Pelodiscus sinensis: one gene and its partner. The protein of the gene in region 1 purifies or fractionates together with the protein of each later gene. This does not show direct contact. Links are inferred from orthologs where the notes say so. Each region holds a gene or a part of one and is shown on either strand. Other genes may lie near its edges.

Region 1 (7,448 bases):
TTCAAGATGCAGTAAAGAAGATCTGGCATTGCAGAAGGCTGCACTTTGTCAAGATCTTCTCATTGCATTACAGGCAGTCCCCGGGTTACGTACAAGATAGGGACTGTAGGTTTGTTCTTAAGTTGAATCTGTATGTAAGTCGGAACTGGCATCCAGATTCAGTCGCTGCTGAAACTGACCAGCGGCTGACTACAGGAAGCCCGAGGCAGAGTTGCTCTGCCCTGGGCTTCCTGGAATCAGCCGCTGATCAGTTTCAATAGCGGCTGAATCTGGATGCCTGGGACAGAGCAGCTGGGGCACTGCCGGGTAGGTCCCCGCAGTGCCGCACCTCAGCGCTGCGGGGACCAACCTGGCAGCACCCCAGCTGCTCTACCCCAGGTGTCCCCAAGTCAGCCGCTGTTGAAACTGATCAGCAGCTGATTCCAGGAAGCCCAGGGCAGAGCAACTCTGCCTCGGGCTTCCTGTAGTCAGCCGCTGGTCAGTTTCAGCAGCGGCTGACTTGGGGACGCCTGGGGCAGAGCAGCTGGGGTGCTGCCGGGTTGGTCCAGTAGCGCCCCTCCTCGGCGCTACTGGACCAACCCAGCAGCACCCCAGCTGCTCTGCCCCAGGCGTCCTGATTCAGCTGCTGCTGAAACTGACCAGCAGCGGCTGAATCAGGACGCCTGGGGCAGAGCAGCTGGGGTGCTGGCGGGTTGGTCCAGTAGCGCCGAGGAGCGGCGCTGCGGGACCAACCGGGCAGCACCCCAGCTGCTCTACCCCAGGCATCGCGAGAAAAGCCTGGTCTGCTGGGGGGGGGGTGCGCACTAGCTGCGTCCCCCTCCCCCCAGCAGACCAGGGAGACGCGGGCGGCGGGACCACCGAGACGCGCCGCGGTCCCACCCACATCCTCCACGGCTTTGCTCCGCGTCTCTCTGGTCTGCTGGGGGGGCCCCCCCCCAGCAGACCAGGGAGATGCGGAGCAAAGCCGCGGAGGACCCGGGCAGCGGGACCGCGGCGCGTCTGGGCGGTCCCGCCGCACACGTCCTCCGAGGCTTTGCTCCGCATCTCCCTGGTCTGCTGGGGGCACTTCCCCAGCAGACCAGGGAGACGCGGAGCAGCTTTTCTCGCCCTGGAGGACGCGGGCGGCGGGACCGCAGCGCATCTGGGCGGTCCCGCCGCCCGCGTCCTCCGAGGCGAGAAAAGCCCCGTTTGTAACTACGGATCCGACATAAGTCGGATCCACGTAAGTCGGGGACTGCCTGTAGTTTGAAAGCAAGGTTTGCTTTAGACCACGCTTGTCCAAGCTTGACATGAAGACAAGGGTCATCCTATTTGTTGCAGTGCTTAGAATCATCACTGAGATCCATACTTCAAAAGGATTTTGAATCTGTGTACACATTTTCTAGGCACCCTTTTTGTTTAAAATAATTTTCAAATAATTTGTGTCTTCTCTTTTTAGTACCTGTTTTCCCCTATTAATATTGGACAGAATAGTACTCAGTCACTTTAACTCACAATATATAGCATTTTTGCTCATTATAGATGCCATTTCTTGCCTTTGGAAGCCCCCGTTAAAGTTAACACAGTTGGGGCACGTCTACACAACAGGGCTAATGCCGAAAGAAGCTACACAATTTGAGCTACATCAATTGCATATCTTAAGTCGAAATAGTGCTGCTATGTAGACATGGCTTGGTGTTAGAGTGTACCGGATAAACAGAGCCCTGAGTAAAGAACAATGTGGAATAATAGTGCCCCAGGCAGGGATTGCTTGAGGTGAGATTGTGTCCTGGGAAGGCACAATCCTACCTTCAGTTTCTGTATCCACAGGCGGTGTGTAGACCCTCCTTTAATATTTGACAGGTTCATCCATTAAGATGCATGAGCCTGTTCTTCTGGTGCAGCCAGCCCACTCAGCAGGCTCTTTGAAGCAATGTAAAACTTCTGGGGTACCTGGCAAATAAGTTTCTCATTCTATTAAGAGTATGCAAGGTTTGAGAAGGTTCATCCATTCTGTGTATCATCAGTACATGTGCACTTTACAGTCTGGCCCCCAATGGGAATCATGCAAGAATAGTGAAAAGCAGAATTTGGTACAAGTTTGTACACCTGCCTCACAAATTGTATCAACAGAACTCTGGCAATATTGTTTGCTAGCTGTGAGACAGATAGCCTAAGAACGTCGTACGGTTCACCTTGTGAACTTTTCAATACTGCATCTCTCAAGTTTTGGGGATCAAGAAAGAGGCAAGACTTTGCACATTCCTTGTAAAGAAACAGGATTTCATCAAAACAAATACCATTCTCCATTGTCAGTTTCTACACTCAGCTACAATAACTGGCAAGGCTCCAAACTTTGACTAGCCACATGGTCAAAACCACCATGATGGTTTTTCACCTAATAAAGCCCATTCCCTTAGAACAAATTAAATGCAATCTCCTCCTCCCAAAAAGTGAGGTTTTCAAATCATGTTATGAATATTTTGCACAGTTCCCTGCATATAAGGCTGAATACATTATAAAGTTTGCAAGACATTCAGATGCTAATGTAATGGGAGCCATGTAAATACCTAAGATAAGCACATTTGGAGTTCTGGCTACTGTCAGAGACATAATATTGGACTAGTTGAACCACTGGTCTAATTCAGTAAGGTTATCTCAATAAACAGTAATATCTATCAAGCCCAGCTCTAATCAAAGCAAATAAACTGAGGCTCCACTTCTACATGCGTTAGATGCATTACCCACATATGTCAATGATTAATGTTGTTATAGCCCTCTTGATGCCGGGTTGCTAATCTTCCCAACTGGACAGACCAAACACTATTCACAGCAATGGTTTCTGGTCTGTCCAGTCCCTGAGAGTTGGCAACCCTATCCCAGGATATTTGGAACAAAGTTGGTGAGATATCTTTTATTGGACCAACTTCAGTTGGTGAGAGTCACACTTTCCCGCTGCACAGAGCTCGTCATTGTATTTTTCCCAGACCTGATGAAGAGCTCTGTGTAGCTTAAAACCTTGTCCCTCTCACCATCAGAGGTTGATTGAATACAAGAAATTACATCACCTACATTGACTCTTTAATGACTAATGTAACTTTTATAAAGCATTTATAGTTTAACAACCTTTACCTTACCAGGTTGCAGAGAGTCTGATGAGTTTGTTTCTGTACACATGGATAATCCAGATGTCAAAAGACTGACCCAAACAGTGACATGTGAATCTCCCCACTAGACCAGTAGCTCAAGGGAAACAAGCTTAGGGACAGAATAGGAAGGCAAGGCACAAAGGCTCATGCTGTAAGTGCCTGTTGCCTTACTTTGTCCCCTCACATAATTGACAAGGCCTTAAGGCAGCCATCAACTCCTCCTTCACCCTAGCAGATTCATCTTGACTAGGCATCATTACCAAGTGCTAAAGCCATCCTGGTAAGCAAGAAGAATCCCTGTACAGTTCCTGCAGGCCTGTGCTGAGAGACTTTAGTTGGAGCTGGAGCTAGCACACAGGAAATCTGAAATACAACCTCATACAATCATTTTCTTTTGAATGCCACTGTGTTGTCAATAGTTCCTTGTTTGGAGCTGGTGAATCCCAGCCAAAGGGTCGAAGACATGGCTAGGAGTCTGTGCAAAGATGTGGGGTAGCCAGGTCCAAGAGAGGCCCCTCACGCCTTCAGGCTCACATATCTACTGGAATGGAGCGTACAGCCTCAGGGATTCATGCCAACGGTGGGACTCTGTTGGCCCAAGCATGGAGGAATCCTTGAGGCTGTGGTGGCAACGTCCTGCATTGCTCCTGGGAGAGGTCAGTATTGTACATGCTGCTGGTTCTGGCGTCTGGGGACGGTATCAGTCTCTCCCAGGTTGTCTCCAATGGATTAAACCCTGTTACCTAACATGGGACTTTGCAGCAAGTGCAGACAGGGCACTAAGGGCACAAATCCTCCGGCTGCCCAGCTGGGGGCGGCTCGTTGCTCGGGAGGCCTGAGCCTCACCTACTCCCCTTCAGGACTACGCCCAGGGCGATGCCTTTCCGAGGGGCCGGGGTCCCCCGGCACAGTCCCTTCTTGGGAGCTGCGGGCGGGAGGTAACCGACTCCCCGACCGCTACCCGGGCAGCCGCAGCCAGAACCCAGGGCGCAGCGGCAGCAGGGCGGAACGGACGGCGCGGAGGCCGCCGTGCCCGGGCGAGAACACGGAAGGCTGCACACGTGACGCCGTGGTCCTCGCTCCCTTCCCCCACCCCCTCCGGTTCCTCCCGGGATCCAAGATGGAGTCGCTGAGTAAAGCGGGGCAGGAGATGAGCCTGGCGGTCTTAAAGCGGAACGATCCCTACATCACCAGCATCGCCGACGTGACCGGCCAGGTCGCGCTCTACAGCTTCAGCCCCAAAGCCAACGAGTGGGTAAGTGGGGAGCCGGGGCCTGCTGCCTTCCCCCAGGAGCGCTGCAGACCCTTCCCCCGGGCCGAGAGGAGAGACACCGACACCCCCACACGCCCTCCCAGGGGAGGAGAGCTGGGCCCAGGCCCTCCCCCCATTTCCGGGGATAGACCCCGACACGCTCGCTCCCCATCCCCAGCGCGCAGAGGCAGCCACTGTCCCCTTAACGAGAGAAACCAAAACTCCCCGCAGCAGTGGGGAGTGGCAGCCCCAGAACCGCCCCCCCCCACCTATACACACACTGGGACGGGAGGCCCCCAGGGGTTAGGCCGTTCAGCTTGTGGGACTGTGCTTTGCGGGGTAAGGGCCGTGACTCTTGACAAGTTTGAAATTTTCACACTTTTCCCTCTCCCAAGCATCTCGGACTGTTCTTAGTTTGAGGAGACAATTTAAATCCGACGCCAGAAATTAATAGAGTTATTTGAGCAAAAGCTTTGTGGCAACGAAACACTTTGTCAGATATATATGACCAAGTGGGATTTTGCCCATGAAAGCGTATGCCCAAACAAGACCTCTCGTTTTGGTGGACAGAACTAACATAGCTACCCCACTGATTTTTATCATTGAAGCAGATAGAGTAGTTTTGCCTAACATGCTTTATACGCTCAATTGTGTTTGTTTGCAGGGTTTTTTCGGTTTGTATTTGTGTGTGTATCTATGTACCTTTCTAGTTGTCACTTTCCACCTGCTGATAATTTTGAAGTTCAAAAAGTATGGGATTTTAGAAATATTGGTACTGACTGCTCTTCTGAAATAAAATTTCCGATTAATTTCAAGAATATCTTTCTTTTTCTACAGTTTTGAAAATAAAGACCATCAATATACACTACATTTCTAAAAAAAAAAAAGTTAATATGAATGTAAAGAGGTTTTAAAACATCTTGTCAGACACAGAGGTTTGCAGTTACATGCGAGGTCTCTGAGATCTTATTCCTGCAAAAACTTAAGTAATGTGAATAGTCCAGTTGAACCCAAAGTTATTTTGCAGGTGGTAAATCATGTGGCTTTTTTCTTTTTAGCTAAGTTTTAATATATAAAACAAGATATCAGTGCATAGCATGAAATTAAAATATAGATAGCTGTGTGTTCAATTTATAGCTATTGTAGCTATTGTCCAAAAAAACTCATTGTAATTTGTCATTGCAAGATACTTTTAAAATTTTTTTTTGCAAAGTAAAATTTTATTACTATACATGAATATGAGGTTACTACAGAGAATATATTTGTTTGACTTTTCTAGTGAAGCTGGTTAGGAGAAGAAAGTGATGAGAAATGTATAATTTCTCTAAAAAAATGAATAATGTTATTATCAACAAGATAGCATGTATAATTTTATATATTTGCCTTAAGTTAGCAATTCATTGAAAATATGAGATTAAATCTGAGTTTTATGATGTCACGCATCTTTGAAAAGTACTAAAAAAGTTATTTTTTTGTTAGAATGCAAGCTGCCTAACTGTATGAATAACCATATCACTAAAATAGATGTAATTGCTGTCTCTTGTAGGAGAAGACTGACATAGAAGGTACCTTATTTGTGTATAGAAGGTAAGTCATACAAAAATGCTTTAATATGTAACTATTAAATTTAGACTTTATCAAAGTTGGCTTTTTAACTAATTCTGATATTTGACCAGAAATTCACATCCAACTTCATGTTTTAAAATGAAATTTAGCACCTAGACATATAACTCTTCAGAAAGTGCACACACAACATTTTAGTAACAGTCTTGAAGAAAATAAATGAATAAAATGAAGAGAATCATAGAAATTAAAAAATTGTAATTAGGTTATTTTATTAATTTTGGTAACTGATTTCCTAATATATTCCTGAGTGCTTTTAATGATAGGAATTAGGGATGTAAGCAACTAGTCGACCAGTGACTCGACTAGTCGCTTTCCCTCCTCCGCCCTTCTGCCTCTATCAGAGAGAAGCAGCAAGAGGGCTGGGAGCAGGAGTTGGCATTGGGGGAGCTAACTTAAAAGCCGGTTCACCCCTAGCACCATCTCCTGGGGGAGGCAGAGGCATAGTGGGGGACCGGGCATGAGCTGGTAAGCAGCTAATTCCTGGCTTGTGTCCTGTACCCCCCCCCCCCCCCCCCCGCGCGCGCTTTAACTTTTTAAGTGTATTACGAGCCTGGCAGGTCTTCATAAATTTAAAAAGCAGAGCCACAGGGGGGTTAGCTCCCACTGTGGCTCTGCAGTTTTCCCCCATTATCAACTAATCGACTAGTCGATTAACTGATTAAATGCAATTTAACATCGCCAATAGGCAGGGCTCGACGAACCACGGCAAGATCTACTCGCCAGCCCCACACCCTGCAAGCGCCAGACCAGCACTGCACATGCGCACAGCACCGGTGAACAGGGCGACCGGCTGAAATCTATTCGCCACAGGCGAGTAGATATAGCGATTTGTCGAGCCCTGCCAATAGGGATGTAATGCTATAGTAAATTAACCAATAAGTAAAAGCTTGTAGGTTAATGCTGTAGACCAGTATTTCTCAACCAGTGGTCTGAGTACCCTTAGGGGTACTCAAGAGAAGTTGGGGGGGTATATCAACACAACTGAAATTTGGAGAAAACTGAATTTTTGTTTCAAGTTTTACAGTGCTTTATTATTTTTGTACTTTTTTCATCCAAAAATTTCATTGCCCACCCAGCTACGATTAAGTTGTTTAAACAAATGTGTTGCAGTGGTAGAAAAAAAATGTGTGTGCTTGAAAACTGTAGGTACTGGGGGTACTTATAATTTTTTTTTAAAAGGGGTACTTTATTTTTAAAAAAGGTTGAGAAACACTGCTATAGATTACATGCATTCCTCTTCACCCCGCCCCGCCGCCTCGCTGTGCCAGTCAATTTTTTAGCAAGGTGGCCAGCAGCCTAGCTCTGTCCTGGCTCACGCCAGGTTCGGGACCTACCACTGCTGCGGCTCTGAATTTAAAGTGCATTAGGAACCAAGTGGACAGGCAGCCTGGCTCAGTTGCAGTTTGCGCCAGGTCCGGGAGCTCAGATCCCACCTGGACAGG
Region 2 (7,345 bases), on another chromosome or scaffold:
ATAGGTAAATTCCATTTCCATAAACCTTTTAGTTCAACACTTGCTGTTGGTTAAATCCCCTGGTGGAGTATGGTAATGACATGCTCAGTATCTCTCAACTTTCCAAACCTTCCTCCTCTTCTCTCCCCTCTCCCCCCGTTCCATTTGTTTTTTCTCCTAAGGGATTTTATGCTCACAAAACATTCTGAATAAATGTAGTTGCACTATATAAAAATGCATGCATGAAACATTTTATTATGCAGTGGGGACTATGATAAATCCATTAGAATGAGTACTGAAATTTTACCTGTCAACTTTCTGCCCTCACTTAGACCTTTGCAAACCCAATGAGCCAGAGGACAGAATCTGGCTCTCCATGGTTCTCTTTTAGTAACTGAGAAATAGGAACCTTTAACTGAACTAGCTAGAAATATGATTTTAGAAAAAACAATTCTAAAGTTCAAGGTATCCTTGTCTACCCACCCAAGAAATATACTTATTTACTATCCAGTAACTGTATTAGTATATGCTGCATACAAATGGCAGCAAGTCAGCCTGGTGGCAGCAGAAAGCTGATTAGAGCAGGACATGAATCTAGGACAGGAATCTGGATATAACAAGTGGATTTAAAAAGTGAATGGTCAACTTAGGCCTATATTGAAAAAGCTAAAAAGAGTTGGTTGTGGAAAGAACAGAAATGTAGCTTGCTTTAAATAATCTTAATCACTACCTTTATATCTTGGAAATCAACAGTCCAGCACCTCCCACTCCAGAGATTTTTTAAAATTTAAATTAGAGACAGGGACATAATTCATCCATTACAATCAGGCATCACAGGACCTGTGGCCATGCTGCAAAAATTAACAAAGATATTCCATTGCACATGTGACAAAGCAGATAAGATGGTGGTGGTAAGTCAAAGCTGCTCTGCCAGTCTGTGCTCAAGAAATACTTCAGACCTCATTTGTCCACATCAGGAAACAAGGCAGCCCCAAAAGATTATGGAACATAGTAAGACAGCAGAAAAGTAAGAGTTATCCTTTAGTATTCTCCTGTTTGTCTTCAGATTGCCGTCCCTATATTTATGACCACTATGCATTTATTATTTGTTTTTTATCCGCAATGAACTTTTCCTTGAAAGTGCCCAATAGCCACTATATTACCTTGTGTTGTATACATTTGGGCTGTGTCTACACTGCACCCCTTTTCTGGAAAAGGGATGCAGATTAGACCAGTCGGAATTGCAAATCCGCGGGGGATTTAAATATCCCCCACGGCATTTGCATTTTCATGGCTGCTGCTTTTTTCCGGTTTGGGGATAAGCCGGAGAAAAGTGCCAGTCTAGACGCGATTCTCCGGAAAATAAGCCCTTTTCTGGAGGATTTCTTATTCCTACTTTCCTTGAATAAGTATCCCCAAGCCGGAAAAAAGCGGCAGCCATGTAAATGCAAATGCCGCGGGGGATATTTAAATCCCCTGCGGATTTGCAATTCCGACTGGTCTAATCTGCATCCCTTTTCCGGAAAAGGGGTGCAGTGTAGACACAGCCTTGGTGTGGGCAGGCCCAGGGCACAGTGGTAAAAACACCAACAGTCAATCAACACTAATGTCCCTGCCATTGTTATCAAGGGTGAAATTGCATTGGTGCTGTAGTAACAGTGGGAGAATTCAAGAGGAAAAGGTGCAGACAGGACTGCTAAGTCCAAGCAAAACTGGTTCTTGTAGATGTATCTTTTGTCTTGATAGTGAAGAAGAACTCATGAATAGAGCTCTTCACAGATACAAAATTTGTACCCTCATTCAATCTGCAAATAAGGTCCACATGTATCTATGGATTTTCAGGGCTCTACTCACAAACATTCATCTTGTTGCTAACTTCACCTGTAGGTAACATCCATCAGAATAAAAAACTATTTTGCATTCACATAGAACTACTTATTCTAACATACTCAAAGAGCTTAAAAAGTTTCAAGGAACTATAAAGTGGTTCCATCTCTGGAATGCAATCCAGCATGAATTCTGTGCTACTGAAAGCAAACCAATAGCTAGGAAGAGAAATAAAGTATTATTTTCTCTACTGAAAATAAAGTTTGAGTGAGAAAAATTTGATGAGGCTAACCCTGCTTTCTATGAAAGTGAATTAAAACTTTAATAACTACATGTATAATGCCGGCAGGTAGAACCAAACCTAGGACCTCTGGAGCTTAGTGCATGAGCTTCTACAGCTTAAGTTAAAAGCCAGCTAGCTCTCAACTAAGGTTGTAGAATACTCATTCTCTCTCTTATAAGTGGTCTTCTAAGTGCCACTGCATGGGACAAGTACATCACACCCAGAAAGTGTGTGGGTTACATAGGTAGCCAAGACCTCTGTGGAAAGTCTCAGCATAAAGGTGCTTCTTCCACCAGCACAATTACCCCTAGAAATATGCCCAGTCCCAAATCTCCTGCCCCACCTTGAGCCTCCCCACACCCTCAAGTCCCCCGCCCTACTCCAAAGATTACACCCCCATCCCAGAGCCTGTACCTCCTCCTGCACACCAACCTCCATCCCAGAGCCCTTCTCCAAACCTGGAGCCCTGCCTTTGTGCACCCCTAACCCTTCATACCTAGCCCCATCGCAGAGCTTACACCTCCAGCCAGAATCCTTATACACCAACCCTCTGTCATAGCCACAAGCCCCTCAACCCCAGCCATTCCCAGGAGCCTGCAACCAGAGCCCACACTCCTGCACCCTAACCCTCTGCCCACATTCAGAACTCCTTGTCCTACCCCGACCACATAAACTTTGCCATGTGCATGAATATGAAGGTGATGTATTGTGCATCAGAAAATTCATTCCACTCCAGGGTGGAAAAGAATAGCGGGCACATTGCTCCTTCCTCGTCCTAGAATTTTATAAGATGTTGCTAATTAAAACCAGTTCGATTCCCACTTTGATTTCTTCCCTGAAACAGTTAAAGCCTGTTTTCCATACCATCTTAACCCAAATGAGAATCTTAGTTATTTTTCAAGTCTTGTATTGTGTAAACTATTATATGCTAGAACTACCCCAAAATGAAGCTGAGAAAGTAAGGGGACTATCAAAATGACCTCATTTAAAATAGAAATTATGTATATAACTGAATTTTAAACTTCGCTAAATAGTATCTCTGACTAGTCCCACAAATGTGAATTAGTATACCAAATCTACTATTTGTTCCTTCAGCCAAAAGAAGTCTTAAAGGCCCTCTAAGTTCCATTCTGCAACAGTTTTTATGCATAAGATGATCTCAAAAGTGCTGAAAAAAGTGAAAGAAAACAGACTGTGGCACCTCTGGAAACAGTTATGTCTGGAGGATAGAATTGACAACACCTCAGTCTTAGAATGGAAATCACAGAAAAAAAATAGCAAATTTTTATTTAAGTTTAGTGGAACTATTAATTGGTATTTCAGAAGAAAACATTCAACAAAAATAGCAGTTCAAGTTTTAGTAGCTGAGGAAGCCATTCCCCGCCTCGGAGATCAAGGCAGGTGAGTACAACATGCTTTCAAAACTTTCAAGTATCAATCCAGGGTCTTGTCATCAGCCTCCTGCTGGAGAGGACTTGTCGGATGAGGCACGTTGTGTTTGAACAGCCCGGCCGCTGCTCGGTGGCGGGGCCTCAGAGGCATTGTCCGAGGGGTTACAGGCCACCTCGAGGGCTATTTGCAGAGCCCCTCTAGCCGGTCCAGCGTGCCCTTCATGTCACTGATGCGCCTGGCCAAGGTGCGCACGGGCTGCATTGCCAGGTCCAGCTCCTCGCACCGCGCCACCAGCGTGTACATTGCTCGGATGCTGGTGTCCACGGCCTCGCCCAGGCTCTCCACGCCGTCACGGTAGGTGTGGATGCAGCCCACGCTCAGGGCGGTCAGGGCCTGCAGGCCGCAGTGCACGCTGCGCAGCAGCTCGTCCACCTGCGCGCCCACCTGCGCGGCCCGCGCCACCAGGTCCCGCAGCGCCGCGGGGTCCACGGGGGGGATGCGGCTGGCGGCGCCCCCGGGCGCGCCGAGATGCATCTTCCGCTGCAGGCTACTGGCCACGAAGTGGGTGAGGAGGCCCTCGCGCCGCACGGCCCCCTCCAGCTCCGGCGCGCAGGCGATAGTGGCTCTGCGATTCCCCGGCTGCCGCGCTCCAGCGAGGGTCGCTCCGCACTCGAGGCCCAGCGCCTCCAGACTCCGCTCGGCCCGCCGCCGCCGGGCCGGGCAACTCTGCTGCCCGCGCTCATCTATCTCCGCGGGCACGGTGCGGCGCCCCTCCGCCATAATCGCCTGCGAATCCCTGCGCGCGCGCGCCCGCCCGCCTGGACCTGTTGCGACGATAAGGCGCGTGCGCTGCCTCAAAGTTTCTGCCTCTCTTGATTGGCTAGCGCGTATGAAAGGGGCGTGTTCCGTTGTGCGCGCATCCCGGCCGAGCCGAGTGAAAACTTGGCCTAGTTCTGCTTCCCCGGTTCTGAGGGTAGGGGACGTGCCTCGTTGTTTGTTTCTCTCCTGATTGGAGGCGATATGAAGGGGGCGTGTCTCGCAGTGTTTGTGTCCTTCTGGATTGGCGAAGGCGGGCCTATTACGCACCCAAACCCTTCGGATTGGTCCTTACCCAAGACAGGCGTGTCACTCGCCGCGCCAGGCTGGCGCTGATTGGTGCGGCGGCGGAAGGGGGTGTGGGCCGCTCCAGTAACAACACTGGGGCGCTGCTCGTCGCTCTTCTCACTCCCCCGCCATGTTCTCCTAGCAGCGGATCTGAGGTTTCGTCTCCCTCGAAGCCGACAAAGTCCCTGCGGACGCTTCGCGGCCACTTCCCAGCGCCCTGACCCCCTGCGCGGCTCCGAACACCCGACTCCCGTCATGGTCACCACCACGGCGCCGCCGCCCTTCCTAGCGCGGCTCTCGGCAGGCACCGAGGACGCCCGACGGCTGCCGCCCAGCCTCTTCCAACGCCTCATGCGGGGGGACAACAACTGCGAGACCCAGGCCAGCTGCTGCCTGGCGGGGCAGGGGGGCAGCGCGCGGCCCGCACTGAAGCGCGTGAGGCGGAGAAAAGGAAAGATCCGGCCCAGCCCCTCGGGGCTGCTACCGAGCCGCTACCAGCAGTACCAACAGCACCGCGCGGGCCTGGGCAGAAGGGCCCCGCTGGCAGCCCCCGGCGCGGGCGAGGTTCGCACTCTCCCAGCACCGGCGGCTGTTCCCCTCGTCCCGGCTGAGGAGCCCCCCACATCGGCCCTTCCCCGACCGGCGCCCAGCAAGCCCCTCAGGAAGGAGGTAGGGGGGAGGGTCCGCGCGCCGCGGATCCCCGCCTGCCCCGGTTTCGGCCGTGGGGGGAGGGGAAGTTTCCGTTACGCTCTCTCGGGGCAGGGAGCGGTGCAGCCCGCACTGATTGGCTGTGGGACTCCACCAATGAGAGTGGCTGCGGCGCCCAGCAACAGCCGGATTTAGCCTGGTGGCGGCGCGCCCGGGGGTGACGTGTGCGGAGCGCAGCGCCCCAAGGAGGCGCCCGGCTGCCACGGTCACTACAGCCGCGCCCGCCGGCATGGGGGAGGGGGTGTGGCCGGGGAGGGGGGCGGGGCTCCCGGTGACTTATTTAGCCCCGCGTGACTCCTCGTCTGGCTGAGTGGGTGGAGGGGCAGCGGCGGGGAGAGCGATACGGGGATGCGGAGCAAGCGGAGGGCATGTTTTTCCGGCGCTGGGCTGCGGTTCTTCGACGCGGACGCGTAGATGGCCGAGTACTGCATTTACCTGAATGTCTGTTCCTGCAGTTCTTGAAGAACAAGATGGGAAAGCCTGAAAAGGCTCCCGCTCCGCACTGCCAGCCTGTTCATAGCACACACCTGGGTGAGCAGTCCAAGAGTAACAAACAGAAGAACAAAGGTAACATGCCGCTAACCAAGATCGCACCTGTGAAAAAAACTGAAAATAACTTTTGGCAGCTTTCTGTGTCACCTGAGATCATTGACAAACAGGAGAAAAAGCTGCTGACAACAGAGAGCTTCAGAAACATGAAATCAAAGAAACCTGGCTCTCCAACTGAAATGAACCAAAAAGAAAGTTACGCTGGAGCAAAGTTTAGTGACCCGCCATCTCCTAGTGTCCTTCCTAAGCCCCCTAGTCATTGGGTAGGATGCACTGTTGAATATTCTGACCAAAATAAGGAGCTGATGGCAGTCCATTTAAAAACTCTGCTGAAAGTTCAAGCATAGCTCATGAGACTTATGGGACTCCATCCAGGAAATTGAAATTAGCCTTGTTGCAACATGAAGTATAAAAGGACTGTCAAGTCTTCTCTACAATAAAACTTTTGTATTTTTTATATGTAAATAATGTAAATCATGTAAAATGTGTATATTCTTGTTCATACTTTAAGAGGTACATTTTAGTTTTTTTATGAAGTTGTATTTTGCACTGCCCAAAATATGGACAGCTTTAAATGTGTGCTCCACCCATGGAGAGACTTGACTAATTTGCACAAGGTAATGAAATTTTGAAGGAGAAAACTATGCTTTTTAATCTCAAGGTTCAGATTCAACTGTGAAAGGCTTAATGCACTACTGAAAAGTTTTGCAGTCTATGGCACAATCTATTGTAAACATGAAGTTTTCATCCAGATGTGAATTGTTGCTCTCTGCTCTGGAAATAATATTTGGAATTCTTGTTCATCCCTTTGTTACAAAGCTAATTTTGGAATTTGAGCGAAGAACCTAAACCCATCAATCTGAGCACTGCTTCCTAAAGATGAGCAGAGCTTTTTGCCATAAATATAATTGGTTACTTTAACAAAAAATAAATAAAATAATTTGGCCTCCCCTCAAGCATGTCTGTCTCTTGCGTGAGTGTATTGTACCTAGATTTTTTTTAAGCTTTCATTAGTTTTGAAACAACATTTCAAGCTCTATTAACCCTCATTCCAGTTTCTTACTCATACCAAATTAAATCCTACTCAATCAGCAATAGTGGTTTATTGAAAGTTTTGATGGATGTTGTTTTTAAAATTTCCCTCAGTTAAGTTTGAGTATCATAACAAGAATGCAGCACTCAAACCAAAATTGTTACAATTTATATAGTAAGAACAGTCATTAAAATTAGCTAGAATTAAAGACGACTGGTGTGAGGACAGGATGGTGCTAACAATGGTTTGTAGGTGACAGCTATCTCAAACCAGTTAAGATGGGAAAACTAAATTTGTCCCAGTTTATAGTAGACATGTAAAGGACTAGGTGACAGGATACTCGACCAGTCACTGTTTTCCCCCGCCCCCTGCTACCTCTATCAGAGGCAGCAAGGGAGGGAGAGAAAAGGGGGGGGTATTTGAGTCAGTGCTGCACTGAGGCCGAGGTCAGCTGGAGAGTCCCCAGCTAA

The links. The genes of interacting proteins can lie anywhere in the genome.
Region 2: the proteins of DCP1A (region 1) and PNRC1 purify together in Homo sapiens (affinity purification with mass spectrometry; 3 studies listed by BioGRID and IntAct, with this or other methods). This does not show direct contact. The link is inferred for Pelodiscus sinensis from reciprocal best matches to the Homo sapiens genes DCP1A and PNRC1.

The regions. Positions count from the first base shown.
Region 1 is NC_134721.1:30,782,286-30,789,733, forward strand, and holds the start of DCP1A (mRNA-decapping enzyme 1A), read left to right. Parts: upstream 1-4,212; 5' UTR 4,213-4,248; coding exon 4,249-4,383; intron 4,384-5,926; coding exon 5,927-5,967; intron 5,968-7,448. UniProt on the Homo sapiens protein: Necessary for the degradation of mRNAs, both in normal mRNA turnover and in nonsense-mediated mRNA decay. Removes the 7-methyl guanine cap structure from mRNA molecules, yielding a 5'-phosphorylated mRNA fragment and 7m-GDP.
Region 2 is NC_134713.1:63,879,020-63,886,364, forward strand, and holds PNRC1 (proline-rich nuclear receptor coactivator 1), read left to right. Parts: upstream 1-4,684; 5' UTR 4,685-4,840; coding exon 4,841-5,254; intron 5,255-5,748; coding exon 5,749-6,189; 3' UTR 6,190-6,798; downstream 6,799-7,345. Other genes in the region: BLOC-1-related complex subunit 6-like, read right to left, coding at 3,662-4,261. UniProt on the Homo sapiens protein: Nuclear receptor coactivator. May play a role in signal transduction.